Drosophila melanogaster: one gene and its partners. The protein of the gene in region 3 interacts with the protein of the main gene of each other region in a pairwise test. Each region holds a gene or a part of one and is shown on either strand. Other genes may lie near its edges.

Region 1 (10,373 bases), on a different chromosome or scaffold from region 3:
CACGACGCGGGCCAGAAGGATAAGCAAGAGACGGGGATCAAAGAGCAAAGTGTGGAGAGCGATTCACGGCCAGCTGACAATTCGAATTCAACGGAAATCGGGGTCTCGAAGGAGAAGGAAGCGGAGGGCGCGCCGACTCCAGGTGATGGTGGTGGCACCACGGAGCCCGTGTTCGAGAATGGCATGGAAAACGCCGCGGAACCCATTGCCGAGCAGGAGCAAACGGTGCCGCCAGGCGGCACGGGTCCACCCGCGGCGGCAGACGCAACTGGAGCAGCCACGCCCGCACCGGATGCCGCGGCAGCGGAAGGAGCCACTCCGGCGGCAGCTCCACCAGCGGAAGGAGCTCCAGCCGCCGAGGCCGCCACTCCTGCACCAGCAGCTCCCGAGGGCGAAGCAACACCAGCTCCGGCGGCCTGAACGCACGGACCCACCACCAAACGGGCGGACCAATGGACATTTAGGGAACCGAGGAATATTTGAGCTTTCACCAAATAAATTTGAGTTTTAACAACATGAAGATCAACTGGGTTTCATTCCATTCAAGTTACAAAAAACAATAATCCAAAGATCCCAAAGAATGATATATAATGGTATCTCTTAACATGGCTGATTCCTGTAAGAAGTCACTTTATTATAAATTTAAAATTTAAAACTATTATATTTTCATATTTCAGAAACATGCTGTTAAAAATCCCCACAGTGATAACCACTTGTTCTAGAATAGTGTTTTTTAAACAATCTGTTCAAGCAGAAATCAAAAAATGAATGTACTTAAAAGCTCTTAATCATTGGTTTCCAAAGGAATGTTTTTAGCTGATAGACCCAAAACACATGCTAAACATATAAGATCAAAGTGCTGAATAGGAACAATATGCAGCTACTAAATGTTGAACTACGCAGTCGGTGAGGAATGTCTAATACTGAGTAACATTATCAAGGTAATTGAGTGGAAAGTTCACCATTTGGGGTTACTTACATTTCGATGCATCTGCTTGGCATTGAGTGGGAACAGATAATATTAATTGGTATGAATACAATCTATGTATAATAGAACAAAAGTGCCTAACTCACAAGTGCCAATGCTTGACCATGCGGTTCTCAAGTGGCATCTACTGCCGGAGGATTTCAGAGATCGAAAGCGGAGCTGGCTGATGGAACTCTGGTTCTTTGCACCCACTTCCCCGAACATCAGGAACATATAAGTGTGCCAGAGCCCCAAGGAAAGAGCAGCAGCGTAACCGCTCGAAGATACAAAGTATATATGGATGCCTCGGATACGTGTTGTGTGTAGTGTGTATCTGGGCAGCTATAATTATATACGTATCATCGTTTTGGGTGTGGGATGTGCCAGCGAGAACGGCAACTTGTAGTCCATTTGGAGCTACATATAACTGCGCCATAATTGGCTTACGTATCATCCACATCGTCGTCATCACCATCATTGCCATCACCAGAGTCGCGGTAGCGGATAATTAGGTTTTAGCTACTGCGACCCGTATCGGATCGAACACGCCCGGTTGGCCAACCCCACCCGACCGTGGATCCAAATCCCGCGTGGTCACCAGCTGCTCCAACTGTCCGACTCCACCGCTGCTCTGGTGATGATGATGTAACTTGGAAGTGCAGTTGGAGTTGTAGTTGGAGTCGAGTGACTTCCTTCCTCCAGTGCGGTAACCCACTCACTGCACACATACATATATCATTCGTATATCATATGTACATATATATACATACATATGTACACATGCTTAGACCTAAGATTTCTAATTTCCAAACTTTCACATAAACTTCGATTGGCGGCTGGGCTTTTCTTTTTTACCTGAAATCGAGCTGAACATTTTGAAACTGTTGCGGTTTTCTCGGCCGTTGGAGTCGAAGAACTAATTTTCGGGTTTGTAAGTTTGTTTGATCCGGATGGAATTCGAATTTTTGTTCAGATTTATTTGCGTTTGCGGCCAGCGGGCTAGGTATTTTTGGTGGAGCGCGTTTATTTTTAAACGTCCGACTGCGTCGAGAGCACAGAAACGTATAAACTCGTGTGGAGTCGTAGTCACAGTACGTTCAACGTAACGTTCAATGATCTAAATTACGTTTACGTTTCACACAAACTAAAAACTAAGAGAAGAGCGCCACTCGTAAGAAATATAGTCCACAAGTGTCTAAAAATTTACAGTTGGCAATGCCTTTGGTGGATGTAAAGTGGTTGCACTCTTATCGGCTAGGTGGCGCTCTATTTCGAGAGCGATAGTCGGGGTACTACAACCGAACCACTGGTTAGACATATACGGTGCTGCCAACTTTTGTCAAGAAAAAAATCAGTTAGATTTGAAATTTTGCAAAAAAAAAAAATGGGGAATTAATATATAAATTATAATTTAGCAAAAAATTGTGGTACCTGCTTAGGTTAAGGTATATCAAATAATATGGAAAGGTAATTTACCACAAACCCTAATTGTTTGCACCATGGTATAATGGCATTAGTGAGCTATACCAAAACGAGCAACTTTCGAAATCCATCAGTACTGGTGAATACAACAAACCGAAAGAAATGAGTCAAATACTACGCATGCTTTACTGTCTTCCCATTTGGCTGCTGCTGCTTTTGCGTGCTGATGAGGCAAACGGTAAGGGCATATGCCTGTATTTCAGTGAAAAAACAGTGAGTAGACTTAACTTAAGTCATTGAGATTGGAAATTTCAAAATTACAATACCATAGGCTTCTTGGTTTAGTGCCCTGACCATCTGCAAAAGCCTCCACATGTGCTTGGCTGATCTAAACACCGAAGTTACCCTATTCCAGATGAAAAGCAAAATAAACCAAGACGACCACGAGTACTGGTTTGGATTGAATGCACACGATAAGCCCACCTACAGATACGTTTCGAACAACAAGTCCATTGAGTACTCGCCGCACAATTCAAAGCTGGTGAACAACGAAGGATGCGTCTATGTTAAACAGCAAAACGACTTTTTCAAATTTGAATCGGCAAAGTGTCGCGAACACCGGAGATTCATCTGTACTAAAACCGATGAATGCGATGGTGTTAGCATGAAACATGGAAACTCAAAATGCGTCATAACCGCAGAGGAAAGAGATCTTGTAGCCTACTAACTTATAGTTTACTGCAGACAAATAAATGGTTTTTGGGACAGCATGAGCATAATACATTTTAATGAGTTTCAGTGTTCAGTGCGAGTATCCTGAGTATTTTATTTATTGAATAGCACCACCTTGCATCTAGTCTGTGGAAGCCTTTCGCTTTGCCACCGATTTAAGTTGAGCTGCATGAGCCCTGCACTTAGTTTTGTAGGCCTGAACCAGCCGCCCACCAGGTGAAATGGCAATTGACACATGAATCTGAAGGAAATTATTCAATAAGTATAGTTGCATCAAATTATTTCTATTTTTAATTACCTCCAGGTATTGCAACTCTTTTTCGTATGGTAAAGACTCCTCCAAGAGCCTTAGGATTGTCTGAAACTTTTCCGTGCCCAATATGTACGTCATTTCACCAATGTTCTGCTTGTACCACTTCGCATAGTTGTCTAGATTAGCACGAACATCCATGGTTGAGGCACAAGCAGCCCTTGCAGTCAGCAGCAAATGAAGCAAGGATCCCAGGGAAGCCGTGGATGCAGTTTGCAGAAGTCTATTTTTCAGATACTCTGCAAAGGAAAAGATCACTTTTCCTAAAAAGCAATTATACTACAGAAATCAATATACTTTTAATGTATGCGGTGGTTTCAGGATTGGCTGCGCTTGCGATAGTTTGCACAAGTATTAGATAGAACTTCCACTGATTAAAGTTTTCCGTGTTTGACTGTTTGAATAGATATTGAAGGGCTGCCTGCTGATGGCTAGCAAACATCTGCAAGTAGAATTCAATTAGGACAAGATACATAGCTCGTTTTAAGAGAACATAACCTTATCGCAAAGGTGCTTTACAAAGGTTAGTTCGTCGACGCCCTCATTTATCCAGGCGCTAAAGCTGGCGAATGCCTCGTCTACATTCTCCGATCGGTGAAGATCCAACAGGGTACTTAAATGCATGTTCATGCAAACATTTAGCGCTTCATCTGAATGGGTAATAATTTAGTTACTTGCATATCATGCAGTGCAGTAAAAAACAAACCTGGCAGGGTTTTGCACAAGAACTCCACATATGCCAAGCTGCATATCTTGGGATTGCCAACGAGGCCGGAATAGAGATTCCCCAAAGCGCTTGTCAGTATCAAGGTTAGCTTCAACGCAGATTCAGCATCTGACGGTGTATAAATCAGTAGAAATGGGGAAATAGCTAGAATCAAGATCAAGAGAAACCAACCGTAAGCCGCTGAAAAGAAAACATTTGCGAGAAGTTCGAACTCAGATTCCAGGAATATGATCAGGTCCACCTGCAGTTGATCGGAGTCCTCCTTGCTGTGAATTCAGTTACGGATAAATGGGGGTCCGTACATCTAGCAGCTTCTTTATGAAACCCACCTAAAGATGTACTGCGTGGCCGTCAGGATGCGAAGTTCCTGTAGCTGTCGGAGAACTCGAAAACTGCCGACATTCGCTGGCAGTTGGCAGAAGAACTTGGAGGCCAGAAACTGCACAGAATAGGTGTGATTACGAATATCTCTTCTTCAATCTACTCACCTTTTCTGTGCCATTCAGAATCTTCAGTAGCTCGGCAAATTCGTATTTTTCAAGAGCTCCCAATTGTTGAATTCCGCATTGCTTTTCTATAATCTGCGTAAAAGACTGGCAATTAAAATGAACTCATTTAATGTGTAGGATGAATTGCTTACTCTGCATACGAAGCCAAAGCTATTGCCGATATTGGTAAATCCTCTATTTTCCTGCACATATTCCATTATAAAAACCTCCAATTATAAAAACATTCAAAATGAACAAGTATTGTTTTTGTTGACCCGCGTGTAGTGTTACCTCAGCTATTGTGGCTGAAAATACCACACCGCTTTGAGAGGAATCGGTTATTTATAGCACGCTTATCGATTTCATTTACAGCCGTTACAATTATTTAAGTCCATTTACATTTTTCAAAATCATTTTTAAGCCATTCGTCACTCATTTATTAAAAAACCTTCCTAATAATATTTAGCTTGGAGGTCCCATACACCTATTTCGAGTAATTGTCTATTTAACACAATAATCCTTGCGCTGCTGTCGTATGACAGCGTTGAGCTTCAGACACTGCTGCCTGAGGGCATCGTTGTCGCCCTTCAGGATCTCAATGGTCTCCTCCTGCCGCTGAATGGTCTGGTGGACGCGCTTCTGAAGCTGATCCATCTCCTGCTTGTGGCGCTCGTTTAGCACTCCCAGCTCGCTCTGGATGTCCGCGTTAAGGTTGTCGCGCAGTCTGTCCCGCTCCATGATGATGTCGCCGCACATCTTTTTGCTGTGGCTCAGCTCCAACTGCAGCTGTTTCACCTCCGCCTGGCTGTTCCGCACCTGGGCGTCCGCCTCCGCCAGCTTGCCGCGAGTCTCGGCATACTTTTCCCGCAACGACTTCTCGACGCTCTCGGCCAGAACTAAATCCTTCTCGTACTTCTCCTTGAGGCGACTGAAAATATTGGGCTTAGGAGGGGGGCTCATATTATTTGGCCTGCATGTACTCACTTCATCTTTAGCTCGTGCTCCTCTTTGTGCTGCAGTGCGTCGGCCTCCATCCGCACCACCAGTTCGTCTAGCTGACGATCTCTCTCCGCCCGGTAGTGTTGCCTTATGGCGTTCTCCTTCTCCGCCTGGGCCAACTTGGTCTTGTTTTCGTGCTCCGTCTTCCACAGCTCAAAGTCAGCCTGGTACTGCTGCTCGATGGTGTTGACACGGTTCTGATACTTCTCCTCCTGCTTGGCCATGCGCTCCTGCATTTCAAACTTTGCCTGCTCCAGCTCTTGCTCCTGTTCCCGCAAAGCCTCTTGTCTTCGGGCTTGGTGCTCATTCTCCCGCTGCCGTAGTTCTGACTGCAGGCGATCACGCTCTGCGGCAAACTCCTCGGTCAGTTTCTGGCGCTGCTCCGCCTGTGTCCTCTGCTCCTCCTCCAGTTGGCGCTCGAATCGCTCCCGGATGGCAGTGCGCTCCTTCTCGATAATGGCCTCACGATCTTGGGCGCAGCTCTCGCGAATGCTAGTCTCGATCTGCTCGTGCTTCGTGCGTGCCTCTTCCAAGGCGTCCAGCAACTGCATCTGGTGGGTGCGCTTCAGCTCGGTCACCTCGCGTTGGTGGTCGCAGTTCATTTTGTTGATCTCCGCCTCCAGGCCCTTAACAGTAAGTTCCTTTAAAATGAAGTAAATTGGTGATTATTAATATAATGCTATGTAAAAAACTACTAATATTCTGGACCCTATCATAAGTAATAGTTTTGACTAAACTAAGATACTAATTACTGATCCAATGATGGAATATTCCTAAGCCATTCTTTATATGTGCAACTTTAAAGGATAACAAGAATCGAGATCCTTAAAGCTAACCTATACCTTAATTTTCTTGGTGTTCTCGCGCACCCATCGCTCTCGCCGGATCTTTTCGCCCGCCATGGTGGTCTCCTTGGTCCTAGCCAGCTCAGTTTCCAAGCGGTGCTCCCATGCCTGGTTCTGGCTCTCCAAGCGACGCGTGAGGGCCGCCACCTTCTCGCAGAGGGAGCCCTTGTCCTTGAGCAGCTGCTCGATGAATCCCTGGTGGCGGGTAACCACTTCCTCATAGTGCTTCTTCTGATCACGCAGCTTGGCCGCGGCGGTGGATTTTTCGGCCCGCAGGCTCTTCTGCTTTTCGCCACGCAGCTGGAAGACGTGCTCCTTGGACATATGGATGGCATTGGCCAACTCGTTGGCCCGCAAGCTCAGGGCAATGACCCTTCTGGCAAGCTGATGGTTGGGCAGCATCAGCAACTCGGATAGCCTGAATTAAAGGGTAAGGATAGTAAGTGAAGAACTTCAAGGGAATCCATGACTCTTCACCCACTTGGGCACCTCATCGGTGACATCGGGCTCCACCACGAACTCCACCTCCGATCGATTGCTATCCGGTATGGAACGACGTGTTTCCATCAACGTCTTGTCGCAACTACTCTCCACATTGTTCAGGTAGGCCAGGATGTCCCTGTTAGGATACCATAGTATATAACTGGATGGATACCAATGTGGTAATTTGTATTTACTTACTTGTACTTATCTCCACTTTCGGGAACTTTACCTTCACTCACAGTCACTGTGTCGGCCGTCTCACAGCGGGAATCTAGGTTTAGGTTCAGTTCGCTGGGGATTCCCTCGGAGAAGTTGTCTGTCAAGGAAATCAAATATGAGGAACGTTCCCTTCTAGATCCAAACCAGTAACTAACCCCTTTTCTTGTCCTCTTCGATCTCTTTGATGACAGATACTATTTCATCATATGTCGAGTCCCTGGAGTCCTCATTCGACTTTAGGGACAACTGGGAGGCGGTATCATTGTCCTGTGCCTCGTCCAGGTCCTCCAGTCCTGGCTTGTGCTTGCCATCGTATTGCTTCTGGTCCTGCATGCTCATCCAGCTGTCCACCTTGTCGAGATTGTACTCTGAGAGTTTCCGCTCCTCTCGTAGGCTGCCCACACTGATGGCCTTCTTCATCTTACCCAGCGGAGCTGGATTGATTGTGGACTTAGTCACCTTGGATTTGCTGCTCCTGGCAATTGGATCGGCACTGGCGGGCTTTACGTTCTCCTTTTTCTTGCCCACAAACGGTGGTGTCGAGGCCACCTTTAGATAGTTATTAATGACGCCATCGGAGCTGCCATTCGCAAAGGATCTCCTATCATCCTGCACTGCTGGCAAAAAGTTATTCTCTGCCCCGAAGTTTCTTGGGTTGCCAACGGGTCTGTAGACGACGGAACCGTTGTTAACAGCGGAACTATTGGTCGCCATGTTCTTGGTCTCGGACAGATTGTTCTGTTTCTCCTTAGTGGGAGAAGCGTACTTGTCCAGATAGTTGGGTAGTATCTCAATGTTGTTCAGGGTGTCAGTTCCCAAGTGGTTCTTGACCACTTGAACGCCTTCCACAGCCTGTTTATACTCCCTTATAACATCTAGCTCCGATGACGGAGCCTTTGGGAGAGTGGGTGTGGGACTAGTTGGTTCCACTTGCTTGGAGGACTCCATAAACCGGCAGCTTGGAGCATCACAGGCACACTTAACGTCCGATGCCGATGCCTCATTGGTGCTTGTGGTGGAAGAGGATCGCGTGCTGCATGTACAGTTCTCCGAAGGGCACTTTGGATACTCGTAGGTCTCCGCCAGAACTTCTCCCTCGGCTGCAGTGGATCCAAAATGCACGGACTTCTTCTGCCCAACGGGATCGGCTTGTTCCACTTTGCTCAGGAAACTGGGAAGAGTTAGAGGACCCGGAGCGGAGATGCTGGGACGCACTTCCTGCTTGTCATTGTCGCAGTCACTGGAGTCCAAGTCCGCGTGCATATTCGGCTTGCTGAAGGACACCCTTCCCGGAAGATCTGGCTTGGCGGTGCGCTGAAGAAGAGCCCCGTTACTGAGGCCCTGATTTCCAGAGTACGAGGAGTAGGATTTTACCTTCTCACCAACTGGCATGTTGACCAGGAACTGCTCCCCCTCCTCGCTGCTGTCGGGAGTGCGTTTGTGTAGCGAGTAGTCGGACTCGGAGGAGTTGCAGGTGCTGCGGCAGAGCCAACTGCGCTTGATGGGCTCCTCCAGCAGGGATTTCAGCAAGTCGTTCGACGAGACTTGTCTCTAAAAAGGTAATATTACAACACCGATGACCGCAGGGTGTTAAACCCACTCACCTTGCCGCCGTTGCGCAGCTCCTTCTCAACAAAGTAGTTGCTCAACCGACGACCGAACTTGGGGTCCGCCGACTGAGGTCGTCCCAGGAAAGGCGAGGAGCGACTGCGCTGCTGCAGGAAGTTGGCCGAGCGTGGCCGGAAATGGGGACACGGATTGTGGAGCGTCGTCAGCGAACGACTGGTGTACTTGGGCTTCGTTTTCTGTCGTGTGGCGAGGTTTATCTGCGGTTGACCACTCTTAGTACCTAATCCAAAAGGGGGTAGACCATGTCGCTCTGAGCTTACCTGAGAGCCCTTAAGACATAAATCCATAATAGCTTAGAATTAAGCACTCATTTAGATAGTTTTCGAACTGAATGCCCTGCCATAGCCTACTGGTTTTCGAAACGGACTAACTCCAGTTTGTTTTGGCCAACGTGAAAAACCGCCACCACTTTCATATCGATTAAACGCATGTGCTAGCCACGAGGGTCAGGAGCAGGCCAGATGTTGGTCAGCACTGCAACCCCCGGAAAAAACAGGCGGGTCGAAGTTGACATGGTTACCTTAGTGGTGAACCACCTGAGCTACCTGAACCACCTGACCCACCCTCGATCGCCGGAACAGGTGTCGCGTCCTCTGCATGATTCACCACTCCGTTCCCAATCCACACCTCTCCACTCCACTTCATCCGACTCCACTCGTTTATTATTTTATTATTATTCGTGTCTCCCAATCAATCACCGACTATGGCACACGGGCAAACCAGCGGAATCAAAACAATTAATCACGGAGAACAACTGATTGCGACTGGAGCATATCGATGCGAAGGTCACCGCACGGGGTTCAATGCTAGACATCGGCAAACACTTTCGGTTTTCATTCACCACGTCTAGAAACTCACTGACTGAGCTCGTGGTCTTAGCATTTTCGGGGGTGCTATCTGTGCCGACTTATGGGAGCATTACTCTGACTAATTGTAAACATATCTTAGATTCCAGCAAAGAACATAGTAATTCCCCATGAATCAAAGGCTGACTTCGGCGGGCAAAGCCCTGGAGATCTAGAGATCTAGATTTCCATATAGCGATACGCAACTCAATGCGCCATTTAAGACACTTCGAGTTCTAAGACAACATTCCCCCATGGGACAATTCGTTCGCCTGGGGCAAACAAATATAGTGTTATCTTTGTGGAACAAGTTAAGGTACTCTACGTGACAGTAAATACACACACTTGTGGTGGAGCACCCTTATCGAAGACCATCCAGTGACCGCGAGAGGAATATTCCAGCCGAAAGACGCGCGGTTTCAATATTAATTAATAATTTATTTAAATAAAGCAAATGGTGTCTATTGCAATACACGTAGTTTGGTCTAGCTAGTCCCGAAATGACGCTTTGGGGACCGGGCCTCCATGGGTGGCTCTATGGGGGATTAGGCTCTCCAGCTCCAGCTCCAACTCCGACTCCGACTCCATTCTCGATACTGACTGATGCGCGAAGCATAAAATTAAATTTGGCAACATTTCTCGTAATCAACTTAGCAGCTAACACAAAATACAACACAATATAGTTGATGGTTTCTTGTTTAACAAAC
Region 2 (10,373 bases), on a different chromosome or scaffold from region 3:
GTAATTGTGAAGCAGACGCGTTGTACACACACAAACGCGCATTACTCATACGCCCGGTTGGCTTGCACCTTTTGTTAAATTTTCGAAGTGAATGGAGGGGTAGGGTGCAGAGCTAAAGGGTTGGGAGGGGCAAAAGGCAGCTCTGGAGGCAACCGAGATTTTGTCGTGGCGCTGTAAGTGAAAAGGATCACGACCACGCAAATGCGCAATTTATGTCGTCAGGTGCAGTCAACGGACACAGTTGTCCCGGCCCCTCATCGCCATTTAACCCCCTTTCACCTCGTCTTTACCACCACCACCACCAACAGTCCATACCCCACCTGTTAGCCATAGTCAACTATCTGAGCCCACACCATCGCCATCGCCATCGCTCGCCAGCTGGTTCATCCACATTTCACATCCCTGGCGCGTGCAACACGTAAATGGCAGCGAAATTTATCAAACGCTTTATAGCCCAAAGGCAAGTTCCGAAGTTTTTGGCTTTCTGCGGTGTGGAAAAGCGATGAGGGCGGAAAACCTGGAAAATAACGCAGACGAGACGGTGGTTTGTGGGGTTTAATCTTGTTCACATGTCACTGCAGCTTGTTTGGTCATAAGTTGGCCGCCTTGGCAGGCAAAAAAAAAAAAAAATAATTGACGTGAAATCTGGTCGCTCTCCATTCGCCTTTCGCCCGTTACCACTGCCGATTACCACCCACTGCCCACTTTATATGCAGTTAATTACAATGGCGCTGACCTTGCGTGCTGCATGCCCCGCATTTTGGCTTTTGTTCTCTTGGCATGCCGCTCACGTTTGTGCCAAAAATCTTAATTTCTTTGCGGCTCTGCGTGTCCATTTTTCTTGGCCAACCGGGTTTTGGGGTGCAGCAGGAAAAGGAAAGCAAAGGAAAGTCCTGACCATCATTCATAATTGGCGTGCTGCACCTTTAAGGCGTATTTATGGCACAGTGGCATTATCGGTCAGCAGAATTCTGGTCTCTGGGCTAGTTGCTAAATTGCACGATATATATCTAATTTCACCGCTAAATTGGCCAGCAAGGAGAATTCAAATGGAATTTCATATTGCGGTCGAAAAAAGAGAAAAGCTTGTAAATGACATTGCAACTGCATTCGAAGGTGTGGTGGCAGAAGAACAAAATAAATTAAATAAAATACAAAATGCAGGGCGGTATTAAATCATTTCTTCATTTTCTTGAAACCAAACATTTTGTAATATTTTTATGGCATGACACATTCTTAATTCTACTGAAAGTTGGTCAGCTTTTAAATTGAATTTTTATGGGGTCAGAGCCGATACTATTTATATCATGTGTTAAAGGGTAAAATAGTTCAATTTTTAGTGTGTTTAGCATTTATGGATTTATACATTAACCGATTGAGGACTTTAGCATTAAATGAAATATCCTTATGCGGCCCAAGGCTAAAATAACGGCCAAAAAATATATTACAAAAGGGTTCTGTTTTGCATTTTACATTCCTTTGGTTTTATTAAATTTACTTTGAGATTATTTTCCATCCTCTTTACCAAGAAGATGTATACCATAAACAAATTAAGAATATGGAAATGAAAAATTGTTAAGGCGACAGCAACTTGAATTCCTTTCAGAGAAAGCTAACAAATTCCATTAATGCTCGTTAATCCCTTCCCCATTATTTTCCCTCGGCTCCTTGGAACAACCAAAAACGACGTTTCCTTTTCATTGTCTGAAAATTCCTCTGTCTCAACCCACTGTTGGGCCTTCGACCTTCTCTGGATGGTTAGAAATTTAAATTTTGATTACAAACTGTGTGCACAAGCCACCCACTCCGGGTTCTTTTGGCGCACAACACAGCAATTATTTGGCGGGGCAAGCTTTTGACAAGGTTAATGCAATTTGCTGCACCCAAAATCATTCAAATTTCGCGTGTCGGCGTGAGTGTCGTCACGCATGCCCGGTTGAATAAATTATCATAAATGATTTTGTAAACAGTTTTCGTCCGCTCGGCTCGGCCGCAAAATGAATTTATATTATTAGCCAGGCCAAAATGCACTTTGCGCCTGCTCTGGCCCGATTTCTTGGCCCCTCCCGTTCGGCGTAGTACTTTGCATACATTTTTAATTTCCCTAAGTGAAACGCCACAAGTTTTCAAATTGGCCTTTTTCGCGTGAGAGCGCCCGAAGTGCCGGCTGATTTTCTATGCATTTTCCCATCTGATGAGTATATATGTGCCCGCAGCTCCATTGTTCTTTGTGGCCTTTTGTGCCACGGCGTGGAGCTGGAGCCCACGACCCCACACAACGGATCCCCTTTGGTTGCCGAAGAGAGCGCCGCTGGCTCATCATAAGTTTTGATTTCAGGCGGTGCAGCGAATGGAGCGAAGCCCTATACATAGAGAAAAAATGGGTACTTTTCTTATTTCATTGGGAATTTGTAGGGCTAAACATCTTTCATCGAAGATTCCTGTTCTGCACACCAAAATTAGTATCAGGAACAAGTACATTTTCAATTCCCGGATAAAATTTTCTGAAAATTCTGAGATTTTGGATACATACTGGATAAATACTTAACTGAGCCATTCATCACAAATACATTTTTGGCTAACTTACTAAACCTTTGTACTTTACGGCCAAAATAACTCTATGATTTTGACACAATTTTTTCGGCTTAACGGTTAAAGTTTCTTTACCAATCGCATTCAAATTTTAAATTAGCAATAATGGAATTTTTTTTATATTTTCACTTTAAATGTATACCATTCTTGACCACAGCTACATCAAGTTATAGTTATTCTTCATAAATAGTCAATTTTCAGAAATAAATTGAACAAAACCGCGAATTGCGGTTTATTTTGGCCTTGGGTTTTTATTGACCATATTTTTTGGTGAAAACCGCAAACTCTCAGTTCAATCATTTTATGTCGGTGATTTTTTCAAAAGTTTTTTAATGTTGCAAAATCAGGTTACATACTCAGTACTTTAAATACAATATTTCAAGCGCAGTAGTTAAAAAATGAAATGACACTATTTTATTAAACGCTCAGAATAAGATTAAACTGTTGCCGAAGATCTTTGAGGAAAAGAAAAAACAAAAAATTCAAATATTTCGACACTTCTCTCATGTTCTACCAAGAACAAAAAATCCGAATATATATGTATGAGTTCTGTCAATCTTGACCGAAAAAAAAAATATCCTTGGTTGAAGTATTTTCGCAAGTGCACTCTGCATGCTCCATGCTGCGCTTTTGTTTGCTAGCCGCGGGCCAGGCGCAATTGCCTTTGCCGTAGCGAGTTGCAGCTGAAGTTGAGGCCGGAGTCGCAGTCGGTACTTGGTGTCCCGTAGTGGAGCCCGGAGGAGAAGCCCCAACCTGGTGGATGGCGGGTGTGGGGTCTTGGGTATCCTGGCGGGATGGAATGGCTGCCTTTTTTCTTTGTCTTGGGCACTGGCACATCCTGACTTTGGCTCACGCTTCGACTGCATTAGACGCATAGTCGGGGATGGCTTTTGACTTGGTCGTTAGCGATTATGGTTTGCCGCAGCCTCTCCAGCCAATCCCACAAAAACACCCCAACTCCCAAAGCCACTCCCACTCAGCCTTATCATCATCAGCCACCCACAACGTTTGTCAAACGGAAGGTGGAAACTTTTTCAATAGTTGTTCCGGAACATGTTGGATGTGCGGACGCTTGATTGCTGCACCCGCATGATGTCTGCGATTTGTGTGGATTTTTTTTTGTTTTTGGCCAACTGCCTCGGCCAGATGTAAAAAGAGAAGACTTTTAAGCCAACTGTTTGGCGAGTATCTGATTGAAATTTATGCGAAAGTCAACCCTTCAAATGGGTTGCCTAAAAAAATGTCCTTGGGTGACGAAATGGTTTTTCGAATTTCATACAATGTTTTTATGACTTTATCCCCTTGTTTCTTATACTTAAGTCTTTTTACATTAATATAATTAACTTGTTTTATAGAATCAAGAAATTAATGTACTATGTAAATAAAAGAAATAATTTTCTCCCTCGAACTTTTGGATGAAAAGTTATCGTTAAATCTGTTACTTTTAATTCGATTCCATCCACCGCTTTCAGTATATTGATGGAACTTATCGATAAACTGCCAGCTGACCATTTCGGCCTAAAGAGTTAATGTCCTTATCCTTTTTTGCTCAACTGAGCTACTCTTAAGAACCACTGTTCTCTTAGCCGTCCCAACTCTCAAGTTAGCCCACTCTCAGTCGACCATAAAGGCTAAGACCTAATTCCCAACTTGCCCTCGTGGCAGGCCAAAAGGCGTGCTAATTGTTGGCATTGTTTCTAGGGCTAGACTCCCACAACAGCGAGAGTGAGTGAATGCGAATGTGTATGTGAATGAGAGCGAGAGAAAACGAAAGTGCTTGCATGCAAAAATGTGGCCCCACCGAACAACTAACCACCCACCCGCTCACTTCACCCATTTCCCCCGCAAGGACCCGCTTTTCCGAAGAAGAGGGAGCAAAACAAAGAAGCCGAAAGGAAAGCGACGCCTTTGATTTTTAGGCCAAGTGACCAAGTTTTCTCACTCCACAGCGCTGACCGCAAAAAAACGCCAAAACCTCGTATATAGTTTTATGTATGTTATGCACACTTACACACACAACCGGCACACTAACTAAAATTATACCAAAATATTCAAATTTATATTGATTTTGCGCCTGACGTGAAAACTCTCACTTAAACTTCAAAATAATGAAAAACTTAGCTGAGCTGAAAGCAGAAATGCATGCAAATAATCTGGTACTAACCTTGAAGGCCTTGAACGAGGATACGACATAGAAGGCTCCATCCTCCAGTTCATCGAGATGATATTTTCGATCTCCGTCCATGGAGAACACATATCGAGCACCCCGTGGCAAGTCCATCTTGGGCGAGATCTTATCGAGAAGATTGTCCAGTGAGGTTACATCCCGTCCGGGACGATAGCGCAGCTCCACACCCGGAAAGAATGGATCCCCATTCCGGTAGAACACCACACGGCGTGCCTTCCAATAGGAGAGATTATTATATCGCGATGCCGCTGCACTTGAAATTTCTGGACGGGATTTAGATCGCACCAGCGGCACCACTGGCGGCTGCTCCGAGTTCTCGCTCATGTTGTCCAGATACCCGGGACTAATGGCGCGACTCTGCCGCCCACTGGTTGCACCAGTGGTCGCACCGTTCCGTTGCTGCCAATAATCCGGCACCTGGCGATCTCCACCAGCCACCTGCTCGCTGGCTGCTAAGTCCTCCTCATCATTATCGTACCGGCTGGTGTTCTGAATCCGGAAGCTGGAGGACACTGGGCGCTTGGGACTCTTCGCAGGACTGCTGCGGTTGCTATCGTTGTTGCCGTTGATGTTGCTGCCGTGCTTGTTAATGTTGCTGCTGCTGCTGTGGATGCCGTTCCCGTTCCCGTTCCCGTTGTGCAGATTATCATCCAAATGGGGCTGCGTCGGTGGCGGCGAAACGTTTCCCTCGAGCGGTGCGTTCGGACTAATTTGTGGCATTGTTTGGCCGCCCAGAACGGAGTCGTTACTGCCAGCTGCCTCTCCACCGCCATCGACCTCATCCTCGCCGGTCTGGGCCTGACTCAAGCTGGCCATATAGTCGTCGTTCTCTTCGTTGGACATTGTCCTGGTGTTGGTACTGTTGCTTGTCCTGCTCCTAAAGCAGTCACGTCAGCTTTCTCTTAAGGAATTGGCTCAACTTGCGTGCTCGGTTTGTTGTGGTCAAACGGAATCGCTAAGGGCAGCGTCGCGTCGACGCAAAGGAAAACTTGGAGCTCCCAAAAGGGGGGCAACTTCTTGGAGGTTTTCTTCGAGCACGCAGTCGCTGGTTGCCCAGCAAAGAACTACGTTGCTGGCCTGGCTAAAGTGGAAAATGTTTGATTAGAAATTTGATTAAGGATTTAATTTAAGTCATTTTAAATAATATTTTTGGAACCAAAAAAAAACATTTTTTTATAAAACATCGGTTCGAACATCGAACGTCACTCTCCTAATATAAGAGGTCTATAAAAGGTTGGAAGTAAATTCTGTTAAGGAATCTATCAGTTATAATATTCGTGATTCAAAATTGTTTATCATGTACCAACTGTGGAGAAACAATGCCAAATCTTCACAGTTCTCTGATAGCCTTTAACATGTCAATAGATTGTAATTATCGAATATATATTCCCATGTAATGTCTTCATTCATAATCCTCAAACACAGCATACATATGTCCTGGTCCTTGTTCCACTCAAGCCTTGCACTTAGAAATATCAACTGTTAACTATATCCTCACCCTCTACGTAATCGATATGCCACGAACTCTCGATGCAATGTGTCCAATGCTCCCATTGCCCAGGGCTCTCCAGAGTTCCGCCCTCTCAGCCTGCCTGCTGCTCGACTCCCCCACTTCACAGGACTCCAAAGGATTCAATGGGCTGTCCGGCGAGCACTTGCCACTGCCTTTGTCCCAGCAAACAGACCAAAGAGCCCCACTCAACCATTCGGCGTGGGCACTACAAACATTCACACTTCTGCGGGGTCGAGGGACAGGGTTCTGGGTTCTGGGTTCAGGGTTCACAGTTCAGGCGGCTCCACTCCTCTCCTCTCCCGCTGGAGAGGCCGAAAATATCGCGTATTATTTGCCCTGCCTTGCCTTGCCTTGCATTTGGCTACCTCACACATCGATGAGGGTACACTCGAAGTCGTATGAAAAAATTCTAAACCATTTTGGGTTTAGGTTCAAGAACTATATTGTGTCCAAAATAAATGCATAAACAATTCTAGTTGTATCTTTATATATATATTCTATATATTATTACTAATATCTAACTAAAAACTCGCACAAAAGGACCCGCAATATCACTTTGCAAATTTGTTATATTTAACATCTGAATACCCCAGAAACAGGATTTTAGATTTAAGGAAAATCATTCTGGCTGTTTTTCCTGATTTTTCCCCAGTGCATCGAGTGTTAAGCACCGAAAAATTGCAGACGGCAGGGAACAAGCCGACGACTCCTGGCTTAAGTGGCATTGGTCTCTTGTGTCTTTGACCACTCTGCACTCACACTCACACACAGTTCACCTACAACCATTCACACACACTTCCACACAAACCGGGATCCAAGTCCTTTTCACTGCATTGGAATTTCGTGTATTTTACAATTGCAACAAAAAATAAATATTTGTGGGCCAAGGGAGCTGGAATTTTCACTGGTGAGCCCTTTTACTTGATTTTTTTTATGGTTTCACCTTTTTATTTGTGGGGTGGCGGCGGGCTTGGGTTTGGATTTACCTGTTTTATGCAAATTTGTTTTTATTGCAACACGTTGCACGTTGCTTCTTCCTTTTGGTCGTCGTATTTATGGCCGTATATTTTTTCGGTTGGGGTAAAAGTGGCGCGGTGGCTTCTTTTGCGGCAATTAGGTTAATGACACTTGGGCCGGCAGTTGTTGCTTTGGGTTATTTATGCACAAACAGTTGTGCCTCTCCACTTGCAACATCAGCAGCATCCACTTCCACTAATTGCCTATCAATCAGCCGCAATTGTCTCCACTTTTGGATCGGTTTTTCGGGGAAAAACGGGAAAAACACTCACTTATCGGATAGCACAAACCCATTTACTTGAATCAAATTTAATGAACTCGAAGGCGAGTTTATTAAAACATCTCTCGCGCTGGCAAGAAAGTTGGCCAAAACAAAAGTGCGAAAGTTTTGCTTACTTTCTGGCATTTACCGATGCACAAGAAGAAATTCCGTGTGGCAACTTTGCCGGTCAAAGTGTTTTTGAAGTGTGTTTCGAGCGGCGCTGCCTGCTGGCTGTTCTGCTGGTTTTCCCGCAGCTTTACCTTCTGCTGCTACTGCTGCCTTTTGTCCACTCTAAATTTCCTTGGCGACGCAGCCAATTTTCTTAGAGAGTGCCTTTCTCTTTCTACCTCCTTTCCTCGAATCGCGAATCGAATTACACGTTCGCCTGTGTGAGTGACTGACTTATGGGGCTAACTGCCCACCGCTTCCCGCCCGCTGCTCCACCACTAATTGTGCCCTGCTTAGGAAAACCACAAGCACTCGCACACAAACACACACACTCACACACTCACACAGACATGCACTCATACCAGTGCAAAGGAAAATCCAGTGGGCCATTTGCTGTGTTCTCTTAGCTGTTTGGCTTTTTCACCTTTCTCATTGCACTATTACCTGTCGACCAGTGGCGTCGCCAGGAGATTCCTTATCCTCTCCAATTATTATGTTCGCATGGGATCCAGTAGATTCCTGGCTTTGACCGATTGATTGTGGGATTGTGTCTTTGCCCGCGGCGGAGCTTCGGCCTTTAAACTGATTTCCAGGGGAGAGCTGCAGGGTAGGGAAACGCTTACCATAACACCGTAGCTTTAGCTAAAGCAGGTCCTTTTACCCCCTGTGGCTCAAAGGCTTCATGGCACTGTGGTTAGATTTTTTTGACTTTAATAAGCTGGATGGCTATTTTCTAAATGATATAATACATATTTGGTTTAGAAGATGGTCAAAGGAAAGGCACAAACACTTTCTAGAAAATAATACAAATTATCTAAGCCCTGTTTTATTTACATTAAAGAGAGTTTCCCAACATTTTCTATGATTATTTAATGACAATTGTAGTAAAATATAATTTAATAAGCAAGCATATATATGCTTATAGCCATATCCGAGGCTTGCAAAAACATTTTTCCCAACGATTAACTTTTATAATCGCTTGACTGGATATGGCAGCTGGATTAATGGTACGTAATTGAAACTTTATATTTATATTTTCGAAATTCCCAAACACTGCACCACAGTACCTGACTTCCCCCGTCCCAACACCGCCATTAACCACCACCACTTCGCTTTCAAATTCTGACTTGGGGCACGTTCCCCGAGGGGAAGTCGCAGTTTTTTGCTTATCGTGTTTATATTGTCGTCGTTGTGTGTGCTTGGGGTTTATGTTCGTGTGTTTTGTCGTCGCCTTAGTCAGCAACGTCAACGTCAACCTCACGGATCCAGCAGCAGCACCTTTCTCATAGAGAAGGTGCCATACCCCTCGATAGAGGGGTCCTCGAGGGGGCTGGTTATGCGCCACTCACATGCAACTACTTGGCCAAAACAATTTGTGGGTTATTTTCGCTGCTTTTGGCAGTGCTGTGAAATTTTCTGTGTCACGCTGGTCGCACGAGCAACAGTCCCCGCGAATAGTACACTCCCACTAAACCGCAGAAATAAATTCTATTGGCGGGTGGTAGAGATTGGCTGGGGTAATGCTTTCATTTTTTCTATCGTACAATTAGGCCAAACGTTTGTGGAAATTTGTTTTTATTACAATGCTATTACTCGTAAATTGTATTGGTTGGGGGCGAGGACTCTCCGTTAATAACTTCGTGAGTTTCCTTCGCCGTACGCCCTCGCATTCTTTTAAATTAATCACATTTTTGTGTGGGCGACGCAACGTTTTGGTGAAGTTAATGTATTATTTTAATGCCATTTCCGGCTGGCTGCCTGATTTATGGATTTTCAGCCATATTTCTGTTTAATTATTTCGCCAGCTTTGTGAATTGCCACACAATTGAATCATCAGATGAAAGTAGCTGCGGATTATCTTTACTCCGCTAAATGGGAATTTTTTCCCAATGGCAATTTCAAAGTAATTTTCTCATGCCCCGCAGAGGTAAACTTTTAAGCTGACTTACGTAGCTTCGATCTGAAGCATCATTCTATCCAGTTTCAATTTCAATTATCTAATTTTGCCCAACAGACCCAAGCTGGCAAACAACAAACTATTAGAGGAGCCAACAGTGGCACGCCCACATCAGTTAACAACTAAAATAAGCTTCCTTTCTGTTGCCAATACGACTCCTTTGTGCCTCCCACTTTCGGCCACCAATCAAAGTGCATGAGAGTGCTTAGGGACTGTGCTGGCAGGAAGTCTTGATAACATAAAATGGTATTTCAGACATTATTTAAATATATTGGTATCCATTTTATATTATTATATTATTTGGAACCGTAAATACACATTTTGAAAATTTTTAATAGCTATACCAGATTCTTTTACAATTTTCTTTGTTTAATTTTATATATTTGGTTTCTGTAATTATAGAATTCTGTGAATAAACACTATTGGATTGCATATTTCTTAAAGGCGTTGAACGTTTTAGTAACTTTTTTGTAGACATCTTGCCCTCGTTTTGGATTAGATTCCAGCATCACTGGGTAAAAAGGTACCTGCCATAATGAGCTCTTTCAATGCCCCAGAGAGCGGGTGGGACAAGGTGCGGGTGGTGCAAAAGTGCAGGCTGCAGCACCTTGTTGCCGTTCGGCATTGTGCTCACATGAAGGACTCTGGTACTGCGGCAGCGGTGGCAGAATCCACG
Region 3 (10,373 bases):
TCACGTATATTTTCGCAATTTGCTTCTTTTTCTATCCGTATTAGAGTTAACAATTTTTTTAATTAAAACTTTTTTGGCTTGGATTAGAATGATGACGCAACTTGTCTTCGACCTTTCGCTTTGCTGAATCGCCGAATTTTTTTATTGGCCAAATATTGGTCATAATTAAGGCGATAAAAAATGACAGTGATAATTATTAGCCTGCCTCTCCAACCATCGACGCAGTACATTCCTTTTTCCTTCGTACAATTAGATGTTTCTATCCCGTTCTGCCGTCTTTTAATTTGCATTTTAATTTATGGGCGCCTATAACTTTTATCGACGTCGTTGTCTTTGCCTTTTTTTTGCTAAGGCCAAAAGGTCAAACAGCTGTGTTGGTCGGACTCTTCGGACGTCATTCCCTTGGCTGTCGTCGAGGGTCAATTAGCAGTTATATCGAATGGAGGATAAGGCAAAAGGTTAAGCCCATCTGACCGGGCACACATGGCTCGAAAAACAAAACTAGACGACCTAAAAAATGTGCAATCGGTGGAAGAAAAAAGTCTTTAAACTGATATTGATTGCGGCCTCTTCACAGCGTTTAGATAAGTCTATAGTCCCTAAATTTCTTAATCACGGAATGATTGATTAAATATTCATTAACTTTGTACACGTTTCCATTTAACATTTCCTTATAAGATTTTGAAATTATTTAATAGGTATTTTAAATTGTTTATATTTTTTATATTTTCTTTTTTGACCTTTAAAAAGTTAGTCGAATTTTGCTGGCATTTGATTACCAGCGTGGTTCAACGATGTGACCCTGAAAGTAAATGACTTTGTTGTCATGAATTACGTAGAAAAACGGATGATCAGCTATAAACTCCATTGGAGGCTGTATTAAATTGTCAATGGACTTCTTTCGGCGAGTAAGAACACCTAAAAGATATTACGTAAATGCTACGAATCCTGGGGGAATTGTTATTACTCACCTGTTGCCGCAGAAGCTTCGCCACCCTTTTCATCGATCTTCAGAAAGGCCTTTTGCACAATTTTATCGATCTTAGCACCAGATTCTAGGACGAGCCCATTTAAGTCAGCTGAGGGCTTAAATACATCTAGAATGCCTAACTGAGGAAAGGTATAAATAAAAGGTATCATTTATATTTAGCAATATACTAACATTTTCAAAAATTCCCTTTAGTTGTGCTTTAGATTCGATTTTGAACTTGGGCAGTTTAACATTTACGGATTTTTTTTCCAAATGATAGTCAATAAAACCAACTTTCTCTTTCAGTTTTCTAAGACCATCAACACTATTGGGCAGAATGATGCGCATAGAAAGAGTTGAGTTCCAGTAGGGTAGTTCGATAATCTTTGCATCAATGTCATCGATGTATCCTGATAGTAGGGATGCAGACAAAGTCATCATCTTCACCGGAATAATTTCGTTAGCTGATACATAGAAGTCGGCTATATGAGTTTGGTCGGCCTTGAAGTTATACAGCCACTGGCCCTTGAAGTAGATTGCATTCACCAGAAACGCACTTGTATCCGAATTAAAGTCCTTAGGTAAAACTATGTTCCGGATCATGCCACGCGTTCGATTTAATATCCAGCTATTGACTATCGCAGACGCACTGACTGGATCGTCTAGACGGATCGACTTGGCTTTGGCCTTGAAGGCCTTTCGTGCCAACTGGTTAAATTCCGGTACAAGGCAATATTTCTTGTTCACATATATCCGGTTTGCCATATGCAGGATAATAAACGTTTCGCGGCGCTTAAGATCGCTTAAAAGGCTACGATAGTTGTTTGCCACAAGTGTTTTGTTCTCAGAAAATTTCAAAACGTTTCTAAGCTCTTCGAACGTTTTTCCACCTGATGCCATATAAACCATGCTCATAATAATCTCAGCAGATATCGGCGAATAAATGAGGTTCCTTTTTGCATTCTGCGATGCTAGAATTCGATAAAAGTCCTCCCAAAACCCGCTCTCTACTGAGGTGGCCAACAAAAGAAGATCTAAGGGAATTAGACTGAATTGTTGCAGAGTAAAATACGATTTCGTTGACCGCTTACACAAGTATTTCATTCTGAGAGCGGCTTCAGACTAAACGCATATTAGCAGACCGTAAGGAAATATAAATATATAAATATAAATATATTATTGATGGTAATTTAATTAAGAACGCCTGAAGACACAGCTCCCCATTAGACATACTTCCGAACTCTATGCGTTGCATTTCACGAATCCGATACTACTGGTTCATCTAATGAACACATGTCAATTAAAGCCGCGGTCTCGTGTCTCATGTCCGTGGAATGAAATATGTTCGCTAGTTTCAGTCTTCAACTCAGTCTGAGACTCCTTCTGCAACTCCAACGTCAGATCCAGCTCAAACGTGCACTGATAAAATTATCAATCATAATCTTTTTTAATTTATAAAATTTGTTTTAAAAAAAGTTTATAATGACAAATCAATTAAGACGTATTAATTTAAATCTTTATCGTCTTTAATGATTCAGTAATTCACTTTTATGGCCTGTTTGAATAAATTTCATTAGTTTTTGAAGTATAGAGAAATAAAGTTTTTGACAACAATTATTAAATTAAAATAGAATACATTTTTTTCCGTGTAGATCGAAGTTTGCGTGCTTCGTGGCTGCCTGTGTTACGTTACGCACATTTTCGCGTATTTGGGTGAGTCGAAGGGGGTGCTGCATATGTTTGTGGCAAATGGGGGGCCGATAAAGAGGGGCATACAAGCGACAGCTTGGACATGTTTGCCTCAAACCCCTCAAAAAACGACGAACCAAAATGCAAGTGTCTCGCCTTACAGTCGCCCCCAACTCTTTCACTAGGTTTTTCTTTGAGCCTGATTTATGTCGTCGAGTGTCGCGGGTGTTGCGTGCCGGCACCCACAGACCCCTTCTTACCCCTTCCTATAGACAGGAAAAAATTATGTTTAATAAATAAATATAAAGTTTAACAAAGAAATATTAAGCTTATTCTTGATCCTAAGCTATACGATTGTATAGAAATATTTCTAAATGTATATGAACATACTAAACTATCTGTATCTATTTAGATTGTTTTCAAAAAATAGTTGTTACTTGAGCAGATTTTTAAGAACACATAGAAAAGCCAAGAGTTTTTTCCAGTGCAGTTATCCGAGACTGCGGGCAGTGCAGTTTTAGTTTTTTTTTCTACTCTGCGGTCAGTTTGCTGTCTTCTTTCGATTGGCACTGAAGCGGAGCATGCGATTTCCGCTTTAATGTAATTTTGACAACGCACACACGATGCTCGAGTGGTCATGGGGGATGGGGGCGGTGCTGGGGGGTTGATGTAGGGGGGCGGTTGCGATTGAGTATCGTCATCAAGGAAATGTCATGATAAATCTTACTCGACTTTCCCGTGGCCGAAACCGTTACAGTAGCAACTGCGAATTCGATTTCGATTTGGGTTTTCGATTTCACTTTAAATTGGTTTTGATACTCTGTAATTAGGAGATCGCGATAGGGGGAAAATTAAACATTAAACACTTATTAAGTCACATGAATTTTTGAAATGCATCAAAAGGCATTAAAACAGATAAGAAGTATTTCGACAAAATAGAAATGCCATTTTCTATTTTGAATGCAGGCAGATGCATTTTACTAAAAAGAGTATCTTGAAGCTACAACGACTTGATTTCTTTTTTATAATTTTCATATTTACAGCTCTCTTATCGAGCGATTTGTTTTGCATGTTCCATTTATCTGATTTGCTGGATATTCCATTACCTGTTAACTCGATTGCAGCGGCATTTAGCAGTTGTGGAACCACTTTTCGACGCCACTGTCTTCATCCCCCCCATCGACTTTAATGCACTTATTCTCCGTCCGTTTTTTGTGCATATTGCGACGCCCTGAAGTCTGTTTCCTTATCACCCTCTTTTCGAGAACCATTAAAGTTCTTGGTGGTGACCCGCAGCAGAATCGTAAACCCAGCTTGACTCATTGATGCATCGATGAGACATTTATATTTTCCAGTTGTCCCCACACTACTTTTTCCTATTCCAAGTGCCATAGAAATGAGGAAAATCTGAGTAAAATCGTCGCTTATTATGCGCAAATCAATTTCCCAGCACCTGAAAATGTCAAACGAAGGTGTAAGAATCAGATAAGAGAAAATCTTGATGGATTGTTTAATTAATTAACCAAAGTCTAAATGGTGATTGATTGGAGCATTGAACTAGACAATGGTTTCTATTCATGGGGCGTGTTAAAGGGGGCGGTGCTGAAAACCCTGAGATATCCGATAGCTGGAAATGGTAAATAAAAATAAATAAAGACGTCTCTATATGTACGGATTACACTTAATTTGTATATCGGCAGCAATAAAATGAAAACGAGCTGACTTAGCGGAATCCCAGCTCGGTCATTTATCACCAGCACAGTAAAACTGAAATACAATCCAAAACTAGTAAAAACGTTTAACTGGCGCTTAAGAATGGAATATACCTTTTATATTTATAAAAGAGTACAATATCCACTTCTTTAGTGGTTTCTAAATTAAACCTAAAAAATGTAAATTTAATTTTTAATAAAACACATTAACCCCAAAAAGGTGAGAATATTTATTATTTATAGTACATTGTTTGAATTAAGTCCTCACATGATTAGTGAGAGGTTTGGTTTTATCTTTTATATGTTAATTGCGCTGTTATGTTACTGTTATTGCATTGTATTGATTCATCGCTTCTAAATAAATAAATATATAAAAAAAAAAACATTGTTTGAACAGATTTTTGATGCTTATATGATCGCTTTAAGTACATATATTCCCAATTAAGATCAGAAGTACCCGGTATGTTTAAAATAATGAAATCGCAAGAAATATAAGTAAATTCAGAAAAAAACACTATGCAATAAAACGTGCGAAGTTATAAAAACAATGGAAATGGAAAGAGAGGGAGAGCAAAAACAAGCGAGGGAGAACGCTCCAGATAATGGAGCTCGGTTCTAAAAAGTCGGTTCTTGGGGCTCTGTTCCGATTCTTTGTTGCGGTCAGTCGGAAAATCGAAGGCGGCGCGACGCGACATCATATCGAAACCCCAACGAAACGCGATTTATGCAACGAACGAATTCTAATTTATGCAAAGAAAAAAAAAATGTAGACATAAATTAATTTTATAACTATAGTCACATTGTGTAATGAGTGAATATAATAAATCTAAGTGTAAGCCCGGAGTAGAAATGATAAGAGTACCAATTCGCAGTGAAAAATATAAATTAAAAATATAATATATTCTACAATCTATATGGAAAGTTATAAACGTATATATTTCAATTAACTTAATAAATTCATTATAATAAAACAAACTAATAAAAAACACATGCAATTACTAGAGTACATAGTACATATTCTGTTAGTACATATTCTCAAGAGTAACCTTTCAAAATTTAGTAGATTTAGGCGATAAAAATGAGTTCCTACAGGACATTGGTGGATCATGGCCATCCGATTATAGTGGGAAGCAGTGAAATATCGCTGGCCCCGAGTTCGGCAGCCAGTTCGCCCAAGCCCCTACACCGGATGATCAAGTACTGGCGCAACAGTTCCGGAAAAATTCCGGGTCTCCGCAAAAGCGAGAGTTTCGCCGAGTATCGTCGCCATTCATCCAACTCGGCCACAATTTCGGGAGGATCAGGGGGCAGATCGAGCACTTCGAGTGCCAGGCAATTGCAATACCAGCGACTGGAGATGGAAAGCTGCGAGAATATAGATATGCTGACAGAACCACTAAGGTAAGTGCACTTAATGATAAAAACTAGTTTTTTTTTTCAATTTATTCATTAATAAATTACTCATTTTTATGAGTGCCAAGATATTAATGTGGTTAATCGTTTAGAATCAGAGCATCAGGTGGTCAAGAATTTAAAATTTGTTTGTGCCTAGCATTTGAAAGGTTTTAAAATGATTTTACCCATTTATTACCTACACATCGTAAACAAATCAATTTTATTTCTTTCTCTTGTAAATCACTTCCATGGAGACCGAGATAAATGTTGAATGACCAAATATATGCATGCATTCCATACCTGTTTATATAGAAACTACCAAAGAAGTGGCATCCATTGTCTTGCGGTTCACTTTGATGTGTAACCCCAAAAATGTGGGGCATGCAACAGTTGGTTATCTGTTTTCGGGTTTTCGAAACGCCCCTCGCAGCTGCGGTTTATCGTGTGGTTATCAGCTGTTCGTTATCAGCCGCCAACGAAAACATCGGCAAGCATGTGGATGATAAAAACGAGGGAACAAGTGCAACACGCCGACGTCATTTTGTGGATTGTGGAAACAGTTCGCGGGAGAACTGCATTTTTTGCATTTACAAATACAAGTCGAAAGTTTGTGAACACTTTTCAAAGTGATTCTTTTTCCACAAATTGTTAGATTTGGTGTACAAGACAAAAAACAATGTTTAGTCAACAAAAGTTGACGGAAAATTCTTTTTTATAACTACTATAACATACATACATACATATTCAATTTCGTATTCTGTAATACTTATTCGGGTTGACATCAGAAATCCAGAAAAATGGTATATCCAAATTGTGAAAATACTTTCTCTCGAAAAAGGCTCATGAAAGAACGTGTTCTGGAATAACACCACTTTCCAAGGGGGCGAACGCCGACTGTTTTTGGCTCGTGCCTCTGTTTACTTGTGTATTGGTGTCCCACGCCGGTTCCGGTTATTCGGTTTGTTTTGGTTATCTCTCGGTGGAGGGAAATCATTGCCTTCTGCATACTTTTGGGGTACACTGTGCAAATAATTAACTGGCAACTGCATTGCCGGCTTCTTTGAATTGCATTGTTTTCCAAACTGTTTACTTTGGCTAATGCGGGCAGCTCCGCTCTCCCCTGGCAACAACTCTTTCTGTTTGCCTAAACTGCGCGCATTTGGAATGTAAATAAATGTAAATAAACAAGAATTTCGCCCCCATAAAGGCAACAAAAGCAGTGAGAGCAGAACAACAACAAACTCGCTCTCTCGCCTTAACAAAAATGCAACGTGCACGTACAGTTAAGGTCGCAGCAATAGCACGGATTTTTATAAAATTATCTGCTCTTTAATATGAATTAATGCATATCTGTATCATCACATGTTTTACATGTTATTTCATATATCATTCCACTCTTCTTTGTCTGCGCTGCATTAAATAATTTTTATCTGTCTAAGCTTCATAATATATGTGTACATAAATAAAATCTCCATAACTGGATCCACAGCCACTATTATTTTGGCCCCCACTGTGGAGTTTGTGGATCGCATTCGCCAGTGGAACCTGAAATCTGAGCTTCGTGCGCAACGATGTTGTTCGTCGCTCGCATTCGTGTTCGTTTGGGGCCAGACCCGCAGCTTTTCTGCTTTGCGACTCAGAGTCGATTTGTGAACCAACTCGTGTGGGCGTCCGAGCCAGCGAGTGTCCGACTAAGTGTGTGCGTGTGCGAGGACGACCGGGCGTGTGTGTGAGCGTTGTCGCGCGTCTGCGTCGCGAAATCCTGATATCGGGAATCGGAACAGGAATCGTAATATATTTCGGGTCTGCGGTCCAGACGCTGATGCGTCTTCTTCATTAGCTGTTCGAAAAGTAACGGTAGAACGCAAAGCAGTTGCAAATCGACAGCAACAGAAGACGGCGAGAAGCGCCACGAATGGAAAAATCAAAACAAACAAGAAAATTGTTAAAAAAGAAGAGCAAACAACAAACGAATACTCGAATATGTGAAAGTGCTAGGTAATCAACCAAAAAAATTATAAAATTAATATAACCAATTAAGGCAATGATGATTTGTGGTTTTGAATTCTTGAAAAAAGTGAACAAAAACAAATCATGCTAAGCATAACACGCAAACTTTCTTCAACAATTAATTTGCAATTGATCCCACTGAGGCGGTTTCCTAAACAGCCTAAACAAAAGAAAGAAAACGAAAGCAATAAATAGACAAACAATAAGCAAAATGTTTGACGAACTTTTAATTGAACGTGTGTGCTTGAATAACAACAAATTGAAATCGCATTTGTTGGCCTTATCAAAAAATTAGAAGCGAAAGTGGCAAAGGTGTCTTAATGGGCAAGACAAATAGAAATCAAAATAAGTTTGCCAAAAAAAAAAAACAGCTGCATAAATACGCGCACGTAGTTAAAAGTGAAATTTTTAAACAAAAATCGTTGGCTGAAATTGAAATGTAACGAGCAAAGAATCCAAAAGCAGAAGCGAAGAAAGTGTTGAAACCAAGTGAAATTGTGTGCGTAATATTTTGTGCAATTCAATTACGAAAATTCCATCCAATAACAAGTGCATGAAATGACGGAATAACATAATCAGCACAGACAAATGTCAAACCACTGAAAAGAAACTACAAATGAGAAATATTTATAAAAAGAAATAACCACAAAAAAGTTCCGTTTTTGTCTCATTCCTCTCCCTCTTTCTTCATCTCGTTTTTGGCGGTTCCCGAGTTTTCTTGCGTTTTGTTTTCTGTGTCTTTGGAGTTCGATTGAAATGCGTCACGCATGATTATTACGTGTATTTTTGGTTTTTATAACCATTTTATCTTCCTGCGATCAGCTTAAAATTGTGTTTCTTTATTTGTTGTGATTTATGTGCAAGTTGTGTGAGGTGATTGCAGATATGTATAAGTTACCTCAACAATTGGATATGGTGATGTGAAATTCGGTTTTTTACAAGGGGGTGAAAACATTTGAAGATCATGAACCCCAACAGGTTTTTTATATTCAATACAAAAACGGAATTGTATATTACTTCCCATAAAGGAATTTTGAATTAATTAAAGATCTTTCCAACGTGGTATCAACTTTTTCTGGTCCTAATGCTTCAATTAATATTTAAATTTATTAGAGTTGTTATGTGAAATTGGAAGTGGAACAATTTCCAACCAACTCCATTGGGAAAAGCGTTTTTTCTCGTCTCCGACTGGCAAAAATGCAAATTAAAATTCACGCATTTTCCACCTCTTTTTGCGCCCTGTTCGCCTGTCCCGTTAAATGACAATGTTGCATCTCCTTCTGCTTCTACTACTCCTCCCATTCTTTGCTACTGTTGTTGTTGTTGTTGGTGTTGTTGTTGTTTTCCTATTAATATGCATAGCCGGCGGTCAAAAAGTAAAAAAATGTATGTATGGTAAATTCGCAGAGCACGTGAATTTCTTTTTGGCTTTTGAAACGGGTTTGGCCTGAAATGATTTCAGTTTGTGTTGCCGTGTTTTCTGCTGTTGACTTTTCATTTTCGTTAAATTTTTTCTCGATTTTTGTCTCGCTGCTGCAGCTTGCAAAAATATTTATTGGCATGTGTGTGCGAGTTTTGCGACTGCTGTTTTGGTTGTTTGCTGTTTTCACTGCTTTGCCAGCTGCAGCTTTCTGGAATTTCAGTTGCTCTTTCGAGAAAACGGGGTAACACGAGCTGTGCGAGTCGCTACATCATAAAAATCATATTTTTTATAGAGACCTGGTGGCCGGACTTAGATATGGAATAGTTTGTTAAACTGTGTACTCTTATTTAATTGATAATGTAATTATAAATGCAGCTTATACAAACCCTTCAGGTATAAACATATTACCAATTAAATAAAAAATTCCTAATACATTTTAAAATTAAAATTAATAACAAAACTGAAGCGTCTCTAGCAGATTAGGGTATTAGATCTCAAACATATGTAAGTTGAGGTCTTTAAGAGCATCCATGGTTCGCAAGGTAAATATATAGTTCCGTACCTCTACCATTGCATCTCCCGCTTTTGGCAATATGCTCCCATTCCGAACTCACCTGGATACCCTGCTCTTTTCCTTTGTTTGCTTTTGCCTGTTGCATTTTTGGGGCTCCGAATATTTGTTGCAGTTCGTTCCGAGGGCGAAAAAGGTAAACGACAGCTCATCAAATATTCATGCCATTCGAGAAGAGATTCTCGCCGCACGAATCGGATGTTTGCCTTTTGACAGATAACTTTTTTTTTTTTTTTTGGTTTTGGGGCGGGGGAGTCCGCAGAAGAGCCGCCCCATTGACTCTCTTTGGGATGTAAAGTAAACCTCAGCGATGCGGAATGTAAATGAACTCGAGAACCAAATTGGCCTTGTCGCTCGGTGTGAAGATACGGACAATAACAGAAAGCTGTGAAAAACAATCCCAAGAAAACAGCTGCTTTTTGGCCACATCTCTTGCTATCTGCTTCTGATTCCCCGCCGCCTTCGTCTCCTCCGCTACTCGGATTCTTGGACTCTACACCTCCGCTTCTCGGATTCTCCGGCTGTCCATTCATCGTTCTGCGTCTGTCTGGCCCATCAATTGTCTTGTCATCCCTCTCACTTTTCGCCGCCTCCCTTTCTCGC

Evidence for each region.
Region 1: the proteins of RapGAP1 (region 3) and CG30001 interact in a two-hybrid assay, tested with the Drosophila melanogaster proteins (one large-scale study listed by BioGRID).
Region 2: the proteins of RapGAP1 (region 3) and DCX-EMAP interact in a two-hybrid assay, tested with the Drosophila melanogaster proteins (one large-scale study listed by BioGRID).

Annotation. Positions count from the first base shown.
Region 1 is NT_033778.4:9,818,018-9,828,390, forward strand, and holds CG30001 (uncharacterized protein), read right to left. Parts: upstream 4,939-10,373; 5' UTR 4,865-4,938; coding exon 4,799-4,864; intron 4,740-4,798; coding exon 4,647-4,739; intron 4,598-4,646; coding exon 4,488-4,597; intron 4,425-4,487; coding exon 4,330-4,424; intron 4,267-4,329; coding exon 4,138-4,266; intron 4,082-4,137; coding exon 3,930-4,081; intron 3,874-3,929; coding exon 3,729-3,873; intron 3,671-3,728; coding exon 3,420-3,670; intron 3,363-3,419; coding exon 3,243-3,362; 3' UTR 3,151-3,242; downstream 1-3,150. Other genes in the region: lectin-46Ca, read left to right, coding at 1-420; CG34033 (uncharacterized protein), read left to right, coding at 2,552-2,662, 2,721-3,116; dila (dilatory), read right to left, coding at 5,148-5,574, 5,631-6,286, 6,488-6,908, 6,972-7,109, 7,172-7,289, 7,348-8,743, 8,797-9,108.
Region 2 is NT_037436.4:14,899,364-14,909,736, reverse strand, and holds the start of DCX-EMAP (Doublecortin-domain-containing echinoderm-microtubule-associated protein), read right to left. Parts: upstream 5,933-10,373; 5' UTR 5,501-5,932; coding exon 4,757-5,500; intron 1-4,756.
Region 3 is NT_033779.5:7,573,636-7,584,008, reverse strand, and holds the start of RapGAP1 (Rap GTPase activating protein 1), read left to right. Parts: upstream 1-5,028; 5' UTR 5,029-5,449; coding exon 5,450-5,772; intron 5,773-7,401; exon of another isoform or gene 7,402-7,764; intron 7,765-7,995; exon of another isoform or gene 7,996-8,275; intron 8,276-10,373. Other genes in the region: Spn28B (serpin 28B), read right to left, coding at 776-918, 972-1,110, 1,163-2,004, 2,062-2,074.